Linked DNA regions of Saccharomyces cerevisiae S288C. The protein of the gene in region 1 binds, or shares a complex with, the protein of each later gene. Each region holds a gene or a part of one and is shown in the gene's direction. Other genes may lie near its edges.

The links. Proteins that work in one complex are often made in the same cells at the same time.
Region 2: the proteins of ARP7 (region 1) and ARP9 are in contact, whole or in part, in a crystal structure (PDB 3WEE), measured with the Saccharomyces cerevisiae proteins. Residues at the interface, in NP_015359.1 of Saccharomyces cerevisiae: Arg5 (codon at 5,099), Lys6 (codon at 5,102), Phe21 (codon at 5,147), Asn23 (codon at 5,153), Val24 (codon at 5,156), Leu26 (codon at 5,162), Pro27 (codon at 5,165), Gln28 (codon at 5,168), Cys29 (codon at 5,171), Ile30 (codon at 5,174), Thr51 (codon at 5,237), Tyr52 (codon at 5,240), Ile55 (codon at 5,249), Asp56 (codon at 5,252), Leu95 (codon at 5,369), Lys96 (codon at 5,372), Gln229 (codon at 5,771), Gln230 (codon at 5,774), Thr234 (codon at 5,786), Met235 (codon at 5,789), Asn289 (codon at 5,951), Phe290 (codon at 5,954), Leu291 (codon at 5,957), Lys293 (codon at 5,963), Asn296 (codon at 5,972), Lys297 (codon at 5,975), Thr298 (codon at 5,978), Cys306 (codon at 6,002), Met429 (codon at 6,371), Met430 (codon at 6,374); in NP_013747.1 of Saccharomyces cerevisiae: Ser118 (codon at 2,111), Ser120 (codon at 2,117), Gln121 (codon at 2,120), Ser122 (codon at 2,123), Glu125 (codon at 2,132), Gln179 (codon at 2,294), Leu180 (codon at 2,297), Asp181 (codon at 2,300), His182 (codon at 2,303), Leu183 (codon at 2,306), Val184 (codon at 2,309), Ser185 (codon at 2,312), Arg312 (codon at 2,693), Leu315 (codon at 2,702), Thr316 (codon at 2,705), Asp318 (codon at 2,711), Asn319 (codon at 2,714), Asp321 (codon at 2,720), Asp322 (codon at 2,723), Asp356 (codon at 2,825), His357 (codon at 2,828), Leu358 (codon at 2,831), Ile359 (codon at 2,834), Ile360 (codon at 2,837), Pro362 (codon at 2,843), Glu365 (codon at 2,852), Ile398 (codon at 2,951), Glu399 (codon at 2,954), Tyr400 (codon at 2,957), Val401 (codon at 2,960).

Annotation. Positions count from the first base shown.
Region 1 is NC_001148.4:634,439-642,747, forward strand, and holds ARP7 (Arp7p), read left to right. Parts: upstream 1-5,086; coding exon 5,087-6,520; downstream 6,521-8,309. Other genes in the region: Rab GTPase-binding protein SRO7, read left to right, coding at 1-2,786; HTS1 (histidine--tRNA ligase), read right to left, coding at 2,941-4,581; GLN1 (glutamate--ammonia ligase), read left to right, coding at 7,770-8,309. UniProt on the Saccharomyces cerevisiae protein: Component of the chromatin structure remodeling complex (RSC), which is involved in transcription regulation and nucleosome positioning. RSC is responsible for the transfer of a histone octamer from a nucleosome core particle to naked DNA.
Region 2 is NC_001145.3:336,115-342,114, forward strand, and holds ARP9 (Arp9p), read left to right. Parts: upstream 1-1,673; coding exon 1,674-1,703; intron 1,704-1,789; coding exon 1,790-3,163; downstream 3,164-6,000. Other genes in the region: formin-binding protein HOF1, read left to right, coding at 1-1,193; YMR030W-A (uncharacterized protein), read left to right, coding at 1,199-1,489; RCH1 (Rch1p), read right to left, coding at 3,304-4,608; IMP2 (endopeptidase catalytic subunit), read left to right, coding at 5,028-5,561; putative tyrosine protein phosphatase MIH1, read right to left, coding at 5,742-6,000.

The DNA of each region.
Region 1 (8,309 bases):
AGCAACAAGTGGAAGTGGTTATAAAACTGGAGGATAGATCTGCTATAAAAGAAATGAGATTTGTGAAAGGTATCTATTTGGTGGTCATTAACGCAAAAGATACTGTGTATGTTTTATCGTTATATTCTCAAAAAGTACTTACAACAGTGTTTGTTCCGGGGAAAATAACATCAATTGACACAGATGCATCCTTAGACTGGATGCTAATCGGCCTTCAAAATGGTTCAATGATAGTTTACGACATAGATAGGGATCAACTTTCCTCCTTCAAATTAGACAACCTACAAAAAAGCTCATTTTTTCCGGCTGCAAGACTATCACCTATAGTATCCATTCAGTGGAACCCTAGAGATATTGGAACTGTTTTAATATCATATGAGTATGTAACTCTAACATACTCATTGGTTGAGAACGAAATCAAACAATCCTTCATATACGAATTACCACCTTTTGCTCCAGGAGGCGACTTCTCAGAAAAAACCAATGAAAAGAGAACTCCCAAAGTTATTCAGTCCTTATATCACCCTAATTCACTGCACATTATCACTATTCATGAAGACAATTCCTTGGTTTTCTGGGATGCTAATTCAGGCCATATGATCATGGCAAGGACAGTGTTTGAGACAGAAATCAATGTTCCACAACCTGATTACATACGCGATTCTAGTACTAATGCTGCCAAAATTTCGAAAGTGTATTGGATGTGTGAAAACAATCCAGAATATACTTCACTACTCATCTCTCATAAGTCAATCAGCAGAGGAGATAATCAAAGTCTCACTATGATCGACCTCGGTTACACACCTAGATATTCAATAACCTCTTATGAAGGTATGAAGAACTACTATGCAAATCCGAAACAAATGAAGATATTTCCCTTACCAACCAATGTGCCAATAGTGAATATACTACCAATTCCAAGACAGTCCCCGTATTTTGCAGGATGTCATAATCCGGGGTTAATTTTGTTAATCCTAGGTAACGGTGAGATAGAAACAATGCTATATCCTTCTGGAATATTTACAGATAAAGCCTCTTTATTCCCTCAAAATCTTTCCTGGCTGAGACCATTAGCCACGACTTCAATGGCCGCTTCTGTACCAAACAAATTATGGCTTGGTGCGCTTTCTGCAGCTCAAAACAAGGATTATTTGTTGAAGGGAGGGGTTAGAACAAAAAGGCAAAAACTTCCCGCTGAGTACGGTACAGCATTCATTACCGGCCATTCTAATGGCTCAGTTAGGATATACGATGCTTCCCATGGGGATATACAAGATAATGCTAGCTTTGAAGTGAATCTATCAAGAACGTTGAACAAGGCCAAAGAACTAGCAGTTGATAAGATATCTTTTGCCGCAGAGACTCTCGAGTTGGCGGTGTCAATTGAAACAGGAGACGTTGTTTTATTCAAATATGAAGTAAACCAGTTTTACAGTGTTGAGAACAGACCAGAAAGCGGTGACCTGGAGATGAATTTCAGGCGGTTTTCTTTGAATAATACGAATGGTGTTCTCGTCGATGTGAGAGACAGGGCACCTACCGGTGTTAGGCAGGGATTTATGCCATCAACTGCCGTGCATGCCAACAAAGGGAAAACATCTGCAATCAACAACAGTAATATTGGATTTGTTGGAATCGCATATGCTGCCGGAAGCCTTATGTTGATCGATAGAAGAGGTCCTGCAATCATTTACATGGAAAACATTAGAGAAATCTCGGGAGCTCAAAGCGCATGTGTTACCTGCATCGAATTCGTAATTATGGAGTATGGAGACGATGGTTACTCTAGTATATTGATGGTCTGTGGTACTGATATGGGCGAGGTAATCACATACAAAATTCTTCCTGCATCAGGTGGAAAGTTCGATGTGCAACTAATGGATATTACTAATGTTACCAGTAAGGGTCCGATACACAAAATTGATGCATTTTCAAAGGAAACAAAATCTAGCTGCTTGGCAACTATTCCAAAAATGCAGAATTTAAGTAAAGGCCTTTGCATTCCTGGTATTGTATTAATAACTGGATTCGATGATATCAGATTAATAACACTGGGCAAATCTAAAAGTACACATAAAGGTTTCAAATACCCGCTTGCCGCGACAGGTTTATCTTACATCTCAACCGTTGAGAAAAATAATGATAGGAAGAACCTAACCGTAATAATTACATTAGAAATCAATGGCCATCTAAGAGTTTTTACTATTCCAGATTTCAAAGAACAAATGTCTGAACATATTCCATTTCCAATTGCCGCAAAATACATTACAGAATCATCTGTTTTAAGAAATGGTGATATAGCGATTCGAGTGAGTGAATTTCAGGCGTCACTATTTTCTACTGTCAAGGAACAGGATACGCTAGCGCCAGTTTCTGACACACTGTACATCAATGGAATCAGGATTCCCTATAGGCCACAAGTAAATTCATTACAGTGGGCAAGAGGCACTGTATATTGTACTCCCGCTCAATTAAATGAATTATTGGGTGGCGTGAATAGACCTGCATCCAAATACAAAGAGAGCATCATTGCTGAGGGAAGTTTCTCGGAGCGTTCTTCAGACGATAATAATGCGAACCATCCGGAACACCAGTATACCAAGCCCACCCGTAAGGGCAGGAACAGTAGTTACGGGGTACTAAGAAATGTTTCTCGAGCTGTAGAAACTAGATGGGACGCCGTTGAAGATAGATTCAACGACTATGCTACCGCCATGGGAGAAACAATGAACGAGGCTGTTGAGCAGACTGGAAAAGATGTAATGAAAGGTGCCCTTGGTTTTTAAATACATACACTAATTCATACAGGGTAATGAGCAACTTCCTTCTATACTTATTTTTTTTTAGTTCTATATGCTTTATAAATTAATTTGAATCGATTTATTTTTCATTATACATGTCTAGTTTTACGAAGGTTTGTAAATACATGAGCTATCAAGTTTATAATCCTTTAATTAAACGAGTGACCTCATTTAGACCATCTTCATGAATTTGTGATAACTTTTCTTGAACAATAGGAACAATGTCAGCCGCACTAACCAATTCACCATCATCATCGGCAAATTCTTGGCCCAATCTTTTGACACGTAATTTACCTTCTAAGTACTCCTCCTTACCGAGGATTACGGCAATGTGACAACCCGCTTTTTCAGCAGCATCGAATTGCTTCCTAGGATTAGCCTTGGCCTTATAGACATATTCAGCTTCAATGCCAGCATCCCATAATTGCTTAGTAACCTTCATTCTTTCGGGTAAATAACCAGTCCAGTCCTTACCACCACCAAAAGCCATAACGAACACCTGTGTAGCCGTTGGCTTTATAGTTGTAGAGGAATTAATTCTTTGTTTGATCAAAGAAAATATTCTTTCAACACCAAATGAAATACCAACACATGGAATTTGAGTAGATTTTTTGCCGGAAGCTTCAGAGAACATGTTGACCAAATTATCATATCGACCACCGGCTGCAATAGAGCCGACACCAACGAATTCTGACGCGTCTTCTGCAGATTTGGCCTTCTTCTTCAATTCTGAAGCATTCTCTGGTGGAGCAGATGCAGAAGTAACAACTTCATAGATCAAACCTGTATAGTAATCCAAACCTCTTGCAAGAGAAAGATCAAAAGAGATGAATGAGTCAATGTCAAATGCTTCGGTATACTTCATCAAAGTAGCAATATCATCCAAACCTTGTTTAGCCTTTTCGTTTGAAGTAATGTTGGCATCTGCGGATAGAACAGCGTGAATTTCCTTCAAAGAACCATTTAATTTAACATACTCACCGATTTTATCAGCAGTTTCTTCGGATTGACCTTTTTCTTCGGTCATTTCCTTCTTGACTGCTTCCCATGGAGATTTGTCCAACTTATCGACAGCAGAAGAGATTTTCCTCACATCCTCATCTTTAACACCAGCGATTTGGAAGATCCCATCAAGAATCTTCCTGTGATTCAATTTGATTTTGAAATCTTTGATTCCCAAACTGGTCAAACCTTCCACTAAAATGGACAAACATTCGGAATCAGGAACCATAGATTCGAATGTGCCTGCAACGTCAAAATCACACTGGTAAAATTCTCTCATACGACCCTTAGTCATGGCTGGTTGGTCTCTTCTGTAGACTTTTGCAATGTGATACCTCTTGATACTCTGAATATTGTTCATGGCAACGTACCTGGCAAAAGGAACGGTCAAATCGTAACGTAAAGAACATAATTCACCACCCTGGTCCTCCAAGTTGTAGATCAGTTTGGAGTCCTCACCATACTTGCCTGCTAAAATTTCTCTTAACTCGAAAACAGGTGTGTCGATAGTGACACCACCATGCTTCTTGAATAGGCCAGATAAAGTGCTAAAAATGGCTTCTCTGATAACCATATCACTATCAGCCCAATCCTTCGTACCCTTAGGTGTTTTCAAAGACACTTGTAGTTTACCTTTCTTTGGAGCCTTTGAAGCTTTTAGAGCATTAGCAGCATTAGCAGTAGGAGCAGAAGTAGCAGCAGCGGTAGCGGATGACATCCTGATTATCGAAGACGACTTTATAGATGTGACTACTTTATTTAGTGATCTACTAAGCATTAAGCAAGAGACGAGCAGAAAGGAACTATTCTAAAGTAACACATTGGGCCGTAAGACTCATTTAAAAGCCCGGTCGATCAAGGCCATAAGTCATCTTCGAGCTGGTTAGAATTGAAGAAAAAAAAAAACTTGATAAAAAATTTCAAACAAAAAAATTATCGCCTTACACGGAAACGAATAGATTTACTTATTACACAAGAGAGAACAGTGATTATAAGGAAAGAAAGAGATATATACAATATTTCCATCAAAGACGTACGCATCACGGCGTTCATATAAGTATATCATCGGCAAGTCTTCACACCTTTCAATACTTAGACTTGTTCACCTTGAGTGATCCTGAAAAAAAAAAATGATGGCCGCGTTTCGAAGAAAATAAAGAAAAAATAAAGCAAACCTCAAACAAGAAAACAAAGCGGAAAATGGTAAACAAGAGAGATAGAACAGAGTAGTAGGCTATTAGCAAAAGCGCGAGAATTACTACATTATAAAGGATCTGTCAAGAATGACATTGAATAGGAAGTGCGTAGTGATACATAACGGATCGCACAGAACGGTGGCTGGATTTAGTAACGTTGAATTGCCACAATGCATTATACCCTCTAGCTATATTAAAAGAACAGATGAGGGGGGGGAAGCTGAGTTTATATTCGGAACCTACAATATGATAGACGCTGCGGCAGAAAAACGCAATGGTGACGAGGTGTATACATTGGTAGATAGCCAAGGGTTACCGTACAATTGGGACGCATTGGAGATGCAGTGGAGATATCTGTACGACACCCAATTGAAAGTTTCACCCGAGGAACTGCCACTGGTGATTACGATGCCTGCCACCAATGGTAAACCGGACATGGCCATATTAGAGCGCTACTATGAGCTGGCGTTCGACAAATTAAATGTACCAGTATTCCAGATTGTAATCGAGCCATTGGCAATTGCCCTATCCATGGGCAAGAGTTCTGCATTCGTGATTGATATCGGCGCGTCAGGCTGTAACGTTACTCCCATCATTGACGGTATTGTGGTGAAGAATGCTGTAGTGAGATCTAAATTTGGCGGTGATTTCTTGGATTTTCAAGTACACGAAAGGTTGGCTCCACTGATTAAAGAAGAGAACGACATGGAAAACATGGCCGACGAGCAAAAAAGGTCCACCGACGTTTGGTACGAAGCAAGCACGTGGATTCAGCAATTCAAGTCTACTATGTTGCAAGTAAGCGAAAAGGACTTGTTTGAGTTGGAAAGGTATTACAAAGAGCAAGCAGATATATACGCTAAGCAACAGGAGCAGTTAAAACAAATGGATCAGCAACTTCAGTACACGGCGTTAACGGGAAGCCCCAACAATCCGTTGGTTCAAAAGAAAAATTTTCTATTCAAGCCATTAAACAAGACTTTAACCTTGGACCTTAAGGAGTGCTACCAATTCGCAGAGTATCTCTTCAAACCTCAACTGATATCAGACAAATTCTCACCAGAGGACGGACTGGGACCGCTAATGGCAAAATCAGTCAAGAAGGCCGGCGCTAGTATAAATTCAATGAAGGCCAATACCTCCACCAACCCAAACGGATTGGGTACAAGCCATATAAACACCAATGTTGGCGATAATAACAGTACTGCCAGCAGCAGCAACATATCACCAGAACAAGTATACTCGCTACTGTTGACGAACGTCATCATCACAGGATCTACCTCTCTGATCGAAGGTATGGAGCAACGCATAATAAAGGAGCTGTCAATCAGGTTCCCGCAATACAAATTGACAACTTTTGCCAACCAAGTCATGATGGACCGTAAAATCCAGGGATGGCTGGGCGCCCTTACAATGGCCAATCTGCCATCATGGAGCTTGGGAAAATGGTACTCTAAGGAAGATTACGAAACGCTGAAAAGAGACAGAAAGCAGTCGCAGGCTACGAACGCAACAAACTAGTGGTAAGGCGCAAATATCCAAAAGGGATTGTAGGCGGCTAGAAGGAGATGAGATCTCGACCCATTTTTCTCAGCGCCGGTAGTAGCTATCAGTAAGGAGTAAGCGGGTTTCCTTCAAGATTCAGTCCACCCCCTACTTTGAGTGAGGGACATATAAACAAACGCGATAACTCGATGAACCCATTCTAATATAAAAAAACTGTATAAATAGTTATATAGAGATGAACTCTAAGCTAGTGAGGCCCACTGTAAACAGCCATTTTTCAATATGCGCTACCCGGCGGCGGAATATCGTCCCAGCTACATGATAGCCGCTTTTTTGTCTCTCTTTGTCCCACCTGTTCAAAGACATTTGGTAATCAGTTTGTCAGGACAATAGTAAACAAAAGTGCGCAAGTACACATGCGCTGCACGTGCGGCCGGAACAATGGCGCTTTTGGCTCGTCCGGATGATGCGAAAGGGAAAATAAAATCTCGCAATCGGAAAAACACTCGCGAGAACCAAAACAAGGATCCCCTAAACCCAGTACCCGCATACGGTTCTCCCGGGGAAAAGGGGGCGGAGGCCGGACGATGAGTGTTACCCGGATAGGACTACGGATCGCTTCGCACGTTTGTTTACAATTGATGACTGCGCTCCCCTAATAGATAAGATAAGCTCGCGAAGGCAGAAAAAAAAAAGTCTTCTACAGCAGTTGGTCCGCACAGACGATGCCAGACGGTGTTTTATCGAAAATTTTTTTCGCATCATAGTGCCATTTGTGGTCATTATTATTCCCCAAATATGCGAAAATAGTACACTATTTTTGGCAGGAGAGTAGGCTGATATGCCGCATTGATGTCCTGTGTAGCGAAACACAAACAAAAAAAGAAAAAGTAGGATGAAAAAAAGAAAAGTAATATGAAAAAAGAGTGAAAAATTAATTCATTTGTTAGTGTAAGCGGTCAGGTGTAAGTAGTAGGCTTGATAATGAATTAAAGATGACTCCGACGCATATTGTTTGCCATGTTTTTATTTTAGTTTGTAGATTTCTTTTTTTGTAATATATAAGGGAGTGATTCTATATATCGAATTCTCAGGCTTGGTTGGTTCGTAGGTTGTTCTGTCTTTGTTTTCGTTAGGTAAGAACATCACACAAAGATAACTATAGAATCACATACATATTTGTGAGAAATTAACTTCATTTCATTTATAGAAGAAGTTCAACCGAAACAAAAATTAAACATAATATAATATAATATAATCAAAAATGGCTGAAGCAAGCATCGAAAAGACTCAAATTTTACAAAAATATCTAGAACTGGACCAAAGAGGTAGAATAATTGCCGAATACGTTTGGATCGATGGTACTGGTAACTTACGTTCCAAAGGTAGAACTTTGAAGAAGAGAATCACATCCATTGACCAATTGCCAGAATGGAACTTCGACGGTTCTTCTACCAACCAAGCGCCAGGCCACGACTCTGACATCTATTTGAAACCCGTTGCTTACTACCCAGATCCCTTCAGGAGAGGTGACAACATTGTTGTCTTGGCCGCATGTTACAACAATGACGGTACTCCAAACAAGTTCAACCACAGACACGAAGCTGCCAAGCTATTTGCTGCTCATAAGGATGAAGAAATCTGGTTTGGTCTAGAACAAGAATACACTCTATTTGACATGTATGACGATGTTTACGGATGGCCAAAGGGTGGGTACCCAGCTCCACAAGGTCCTTACTACTGTGGTGTTGGTGCCGGTAAGGTTTATGCCAGAGACATGATCGAAGCTCACTACAGAGCTTGT
Region 2 (6,000 bases), on another chromosome or scaffold:
GACTGAAACATAAGACTTCCAAAGGTGACATGAATTCTAGCGCCAACTGGGCTCAAATGAGCAGTATCTCCACGACAAGTAAAAAAACCGAATCGTATATGGACAATATAAGGAAACTATCTTCTCAGCTGAAGGAAACCGAAAATAAAAGGAAACTAGCTTCAATAGACAAATATGAGAAACCATTGCCATCTCCAGAAGTCACCATGGCTACACAATTTAGAAATTCCACACCCGTCATACGTAATGAGACAAAAGTGGTTGCTAACCCAACATTATCTTTGAGGTCTTCACCCGTCCAGTTACAGAGCAATGTGGATGACTCCGTGTTAAGGCAGAAACCTGATAAACCAAGGCCGATTGTTGGGGAAGAACAACTTAAACCTGATGAAGATTCGAAAAATCCTGATGAAAAAGGTCTAATGGTGCATAAAAGAAATCAATCTCTCAGCTCACCATCAGAATCAAGTTCTTCTAATCCAACGGATTTTAGCCACATCAAAAAGAGACAAAGTATGGAATCTATGACTACATCCGTAAGTTCAATGGCCAATAGTATAGACGACTCACAGAGATTTGCCAAATCATGGAACTCGTCAAATAGGAAAAGAAAATCTATGAGCCATTTGCAAGTACCCTCATCCGCTTCTTCGAGGTCGGATGATGGGGGAAGAACGCCTAACTCTGCGCACAACCTCAATGAAGATGATTATAACACGAGGAGAGATACCAGTACAAGCACAATTTTGTTCAAACCTCCTGTGGCAGTAAGAGGAACGTCTAGGGGGCACACGCATAGACAATCCATGATAATGCAAGATTCAAGTAATCCAATTGAAGATGCCTTGTACGAAATGGAAAGAATCCAAAGTAGTTCTAAACCAGGTACAAAAACAGGAAACATCATGGATGAGAGAGGTGTGGTCAGGGATAGAGGTATTACTGTTACCTTGCCTATTGTCACCAGTGAAGGTTTTCCAGTCATTGAATATGCCAAGGCCATGTATCCATTGATTGGAAATGAGGCACCTGGATTAGCGAATTTCCATAAGGGCGACTATCTGCTAATTACTGAGATTGTTAATAAAGATTGGTATAAAGGTGAAGTTTATGATAATGACCGTATAGATAGAAATCATAGGATAGGATTAATTCCCTATAATTTCATTCAGCTACTGCATCAAGGTCTTTGATCTCGATGTATATCAATTTTACTAGTTTTCTGATAAAAGAAAAAAAGTATAATGTCAGATTTTTGTTAAGTAGAAATAGAAAGATATACGCTGCCGTGGGAGAAGGACACCTCTCCGGATTTGTAACTAAAAATCATAAAATATCACGTCTTTCCTTCATATTTTCAAAAAAAAAAAAAGTTTTCTTTACCATTTTTGACACAATAATCACGATAATTGTTAGGTCAGGCATTCCCTTTCCACTTTTATGTTCATTTGGACGCAATAAGATATACATATTATTTAATGTGCTCTAATGACAGTTCTACTGTGTTTATATCATTAGAGTCACTTGTTACGAATACTACATATTTCCGCGCAGTGGCTAAAAGCAAATTTCAACATTATAAATCTCTAATAGTAAACTGACAATATTGCGGAATTAGAAAAAATGTACCACGCGAAGTTAAGTGTCTTGAACAACTACTATATGCATTGAATATGGCTCCATTTAGGCAGGACAGTATTTTGGTACGTATTTAGTTCATCAATGGATTTTTTAAGTCTTCACGAACAGTTTTTGGTTAATCTTTTATACTAACAACAATTCATAACAGATAATATACCCCAGATCTCAAACTACTCTCGTTCAATTTGGTTTGAATGAAGAAACATTCACTGTACCTGAGCTGGAAATACCAACACAGATTTATCGGACCACGAGACAAGATGGTTCCTACACATATCATTCAACGAACAAGGATAATAAAGCCGAATTAATCAAACCAATCCAAAATGGTGAAATAATAGACATAAGCGCCTTTACACAATTTCTTAGACTAATATTTGTATCTATTTTGTCTGATAGAGCTAATAAAAATCAAGATGCTTTTGAAGCTGAATTATCTAATATTCCTCTTCTACTGATTACGCACCACTCTTGGTCGCAATCGGATCTAGAGATTATTACTCAATATGTCTTCGAAAGTCTTGAGATAAACAATCTAATCCAATTGCCGGCTTCCTTAGCGGCCACTTATTCTATGATTTCGTTGCAGAATTGTTGTATTATTGATGTTGGAACACATCATACAGATATTATTCCTATTGTTGACTATGCACAATTAGACCATCTTGTCTCTTCAATACCAATGGGCGGACAGTCTATTAATGATTCTCTAAAAAAACTACTACCTCAATGGGACGATGATCAGATAGAATCATTGAAAAAATCACCAATTTTTGAGGTGCTCAGTGACGACGCCAAAAAACTATCAAGTTTCGATTTTGGAAACGAAAATGAGGACGAGGATGAAGGAACTTTAAACGTTGCCGAGATTATTACAAGTGGTCGTGATACACGTGAAGTTTTAGAGGAAAGAGAACGTGGTCAAAAAGTCAAAAATGTTAAAAATAGCGACTTGGAATTCAATACTTTTTGGGATGAAAAAGGTAACGAAATTAAAGTTGGTAAGCAAAGATTCCAAGGATGTAATAACCTGATTAAGAATATTTCTAATCGTGTAGGATTGACGTTAGATAACATAGATGATATTAACAAAGCTAAAGCCGTTTGGGAAAATATTATCATCGTCGGTGGCACTACTTCAATTTCAGGTTTTAAAGAAGCTTTACTGGGTCAACTACTGAAAGACCATTTAATTATAGAGCCAGAGGAAGAGAAGTCAAAAAGAGAAGAGGAAGCGAAATCCGTATTACCAGCTGCAACAAAAAAGAAAAGCAAGTTTATGACAAATAGCACCGCATTTGTTCCAACTATAGAATACGTACAGTGTCCTACAGTAATCAAACTGGCTAAATATCCAGATTACTTTCCTGAGTGGAAGAAAAGTGGATATTCAGAGATTATATTCTTGGGTGCCCAAATTGTTTCTAAGCAAATTTTCACTCATCCTAAAGATACATTTTATATCACAAGAGAAAAGTATAATATGAAAGGACCGGCTGCTCTTTGGGACGTGCAATTTTAAGAATACGTGATAGATGCTTCGTGTATCCAAAATCCGTGTGAATATGTGCTGTTTAGTTTTTTCCATCCAATGAGGATGGGAAATATATACATAAACGTTATGTAATATATAGAATTCATGCAAAATTAACAAGGGAAATATCACCTTGGTTGTGTATATGGGACGTTGTTCGACAGAACGGATTGATTTTCACCAGTTCCAATTGATATGATCTTTTCCAAATCAACTTCCTCATTCTCATTTGCACAAGATGACTCGCTTCCGTCTGCTTGAGCGTCCTTTTGTATCCATCTTTTGAACAAGCTTACAAAGAAATTTGCCGTCATGACTTGCTCAACTTGATATAAAACCAAGGGAACCAACAACTTACCCAGGTGTTCTTTTTTATCGCCGTATTGTGAAGTAATTAGTGATACACCCAGTGCTGCAGTTTTAGCCGGGCCACAAAACATAATGCAAATCGCATCTTCCTTTGAATAATAAAAAGGCCTAAAGATATTATACGAATAGCGGTACAATCTTGTAGATTTGCCCTCTATTGGTTCATGAGGGAAAAGCTTGAGGATGAACCATGGCCTTGCACATAAGTATGACAGACCCGTGAAGAATATATAAATTCCCAAATTAAAAAAGCAGAGAAATATGATGCAAACATGAGAAACGCTAGTAAACGCATCCTGATAAAAGGCAGTTGAGAATGAACTAAACATAATCAATAAAAGCATGTAAGATCCAATTTTAATATGGTATTTTTTCAAAAAGCCCAGGTAATAAGCAGTACCCTTCGGAAAGCAATTTTGAATAACCTGACCCACAAACAAGGGTACGAATACAGAGAGACCAACCTGTTTCATAACACGGCCATAAAGCGCACCAATGCCATTTCCAGTGGCAGGGTTGCCGTATGCAAATGGTGCGCGGTTAGTAAACATTTGAACCAATGCAGGTGTAATAAACGCACCCAACAAATTTCCAATGAATACTTCACAAACGCACAAAAGGCTATTTCCACCTGCATTCGTAGTCATGATAACGTTTGAAGCCACGGTTGTTGGACAAGTGGCAGTCAAAATTAGACCGATAAGTACCCAGTCATCTATTTTCGGATCATTAGCAGCCTTTACCGCGCAACAAAATCCATATACTATGGACGAGGTAATAAGGAAACTCAGAACCAGAATAGTGGCATGAGCTCTCCAATTTAACATATTTGCCATTAGTGACCTTGATTTCATTCCCAGGCCACTTTGGAGAAAAATCCAGGCGACGCAGCCGTACCCAATACTATATTGGCCTTTAATTAACCCTCCGTCTCTTGCAAAATTCGGAGCAAATCTTGCAATAACGATTAAAATAGCCAAACAGATGAAAAACCACTGGGATTTCAGAAATTCTGTTACTGAATGTGCCCAAATTTTTCGTATTAGAGAGTACTGAGTCTTCATTTGGCACTAAGTAGGTGTATTAAATGTGTGTCTTCCTTCTTTTTGCAAGTTATGTCAGAGTTGGGATATATCGTAGAAAAGGGTGCGAAGGTGATTCAGGTAGCATAGACGGTTTCAGGCAATAAAAAGCTATAAATCTCTCTTTATATAATTGAAGGTTAAAATTTGCTAGATTTTAAAGTGGTTCGGTTCTTTTTTATGCTTTCTTAGCTTCTGGCTGTTCGTTGGAGCTCAGACTTACGGGTAGACCAATGTCATCGAAATACTGTGGAAGATCAAGCTCGGAAGGAGAGCGAGGCTAAGTTCCGAGCTACTGAAAAAAATGGAAAAAACAAGTGCCTTAATTGAATGACTAGATGGGTGCTTGTTAACGAAGGCGTGCTGCTATTCATGAAGCTGTTGCATTGTACTGTACAGTAATGTTTCGAGCCGGATCATCAAAAAGATTCTTACGAAACACACTAATAGCAATTTCATGGGTTCCGGTACTTCTAACAATCAATAATAATGTGGTCCATATTGCGCAAGTTAAAGGTACCTCTATGCAGCCTACGCTGAACCCGCAAACGGAAACGCTGGCAACAGATTGGGTGCTGCTTTGGAAGTTTGGAGTCAAGAACCCAAGTAATTTATCTAGAGATGACATTATCCTTTTCAAAGCTCCTACAAACCCTCGGAAAGTTTACTGCAAAAGGGTTAAAGGTTTACCGTTTGATACCATTGACACGAAGTTTCCATACCCTAAACCTCAAGTGAACCTGCCCAGGGGACACATATGGGTCGAAGGGGACAATTATTTTCATTCGATTGATAGCAATACTTTTGGCCCCATTTCCAGTGGGTTGGTCATAGGGAAAGCTATAACAATTGTTTGGCCACCCTCCAGGTGGGGAACGGATCTCAAACTGAGTACCGGTAGAGACTGCATTAGCAAAAGAGCCATTTTAGAATGAAAATCAGCTTATTTTTATGAATTTAGAAGTGACCCCGGTATTCAAATGCAAATTTTTTATATTATGTGATTAATCTAATGCAATAAATATAGATGATTGTGATTTATGTATTGATGTTGTTGCCGTTCGGTTCCTGAATATATACTTCTTTTTTTCATAATACTTCATGCACATGTAGTATCATTTTTTATCTTCAGTCTCTAGAGAAGGGAATAACGATCTTCTTGCGGGCCTGGGTAAATCTTCTCGGTCGGAACCAACGAAAGTAAAATCTCCGTCTTGCTCTTCATCTCCACTTACTTGCTGATGATTGCCTCTCTCATCTTCGAAACTAAAATATGATGGGGTATCCAGTCCGTCCATTAGTAGCATATGTGAAGTGCTTAGGTTACTGTTACTACTCATAGACGACTTACTTAAGATGGGGAAGAAATTTTCG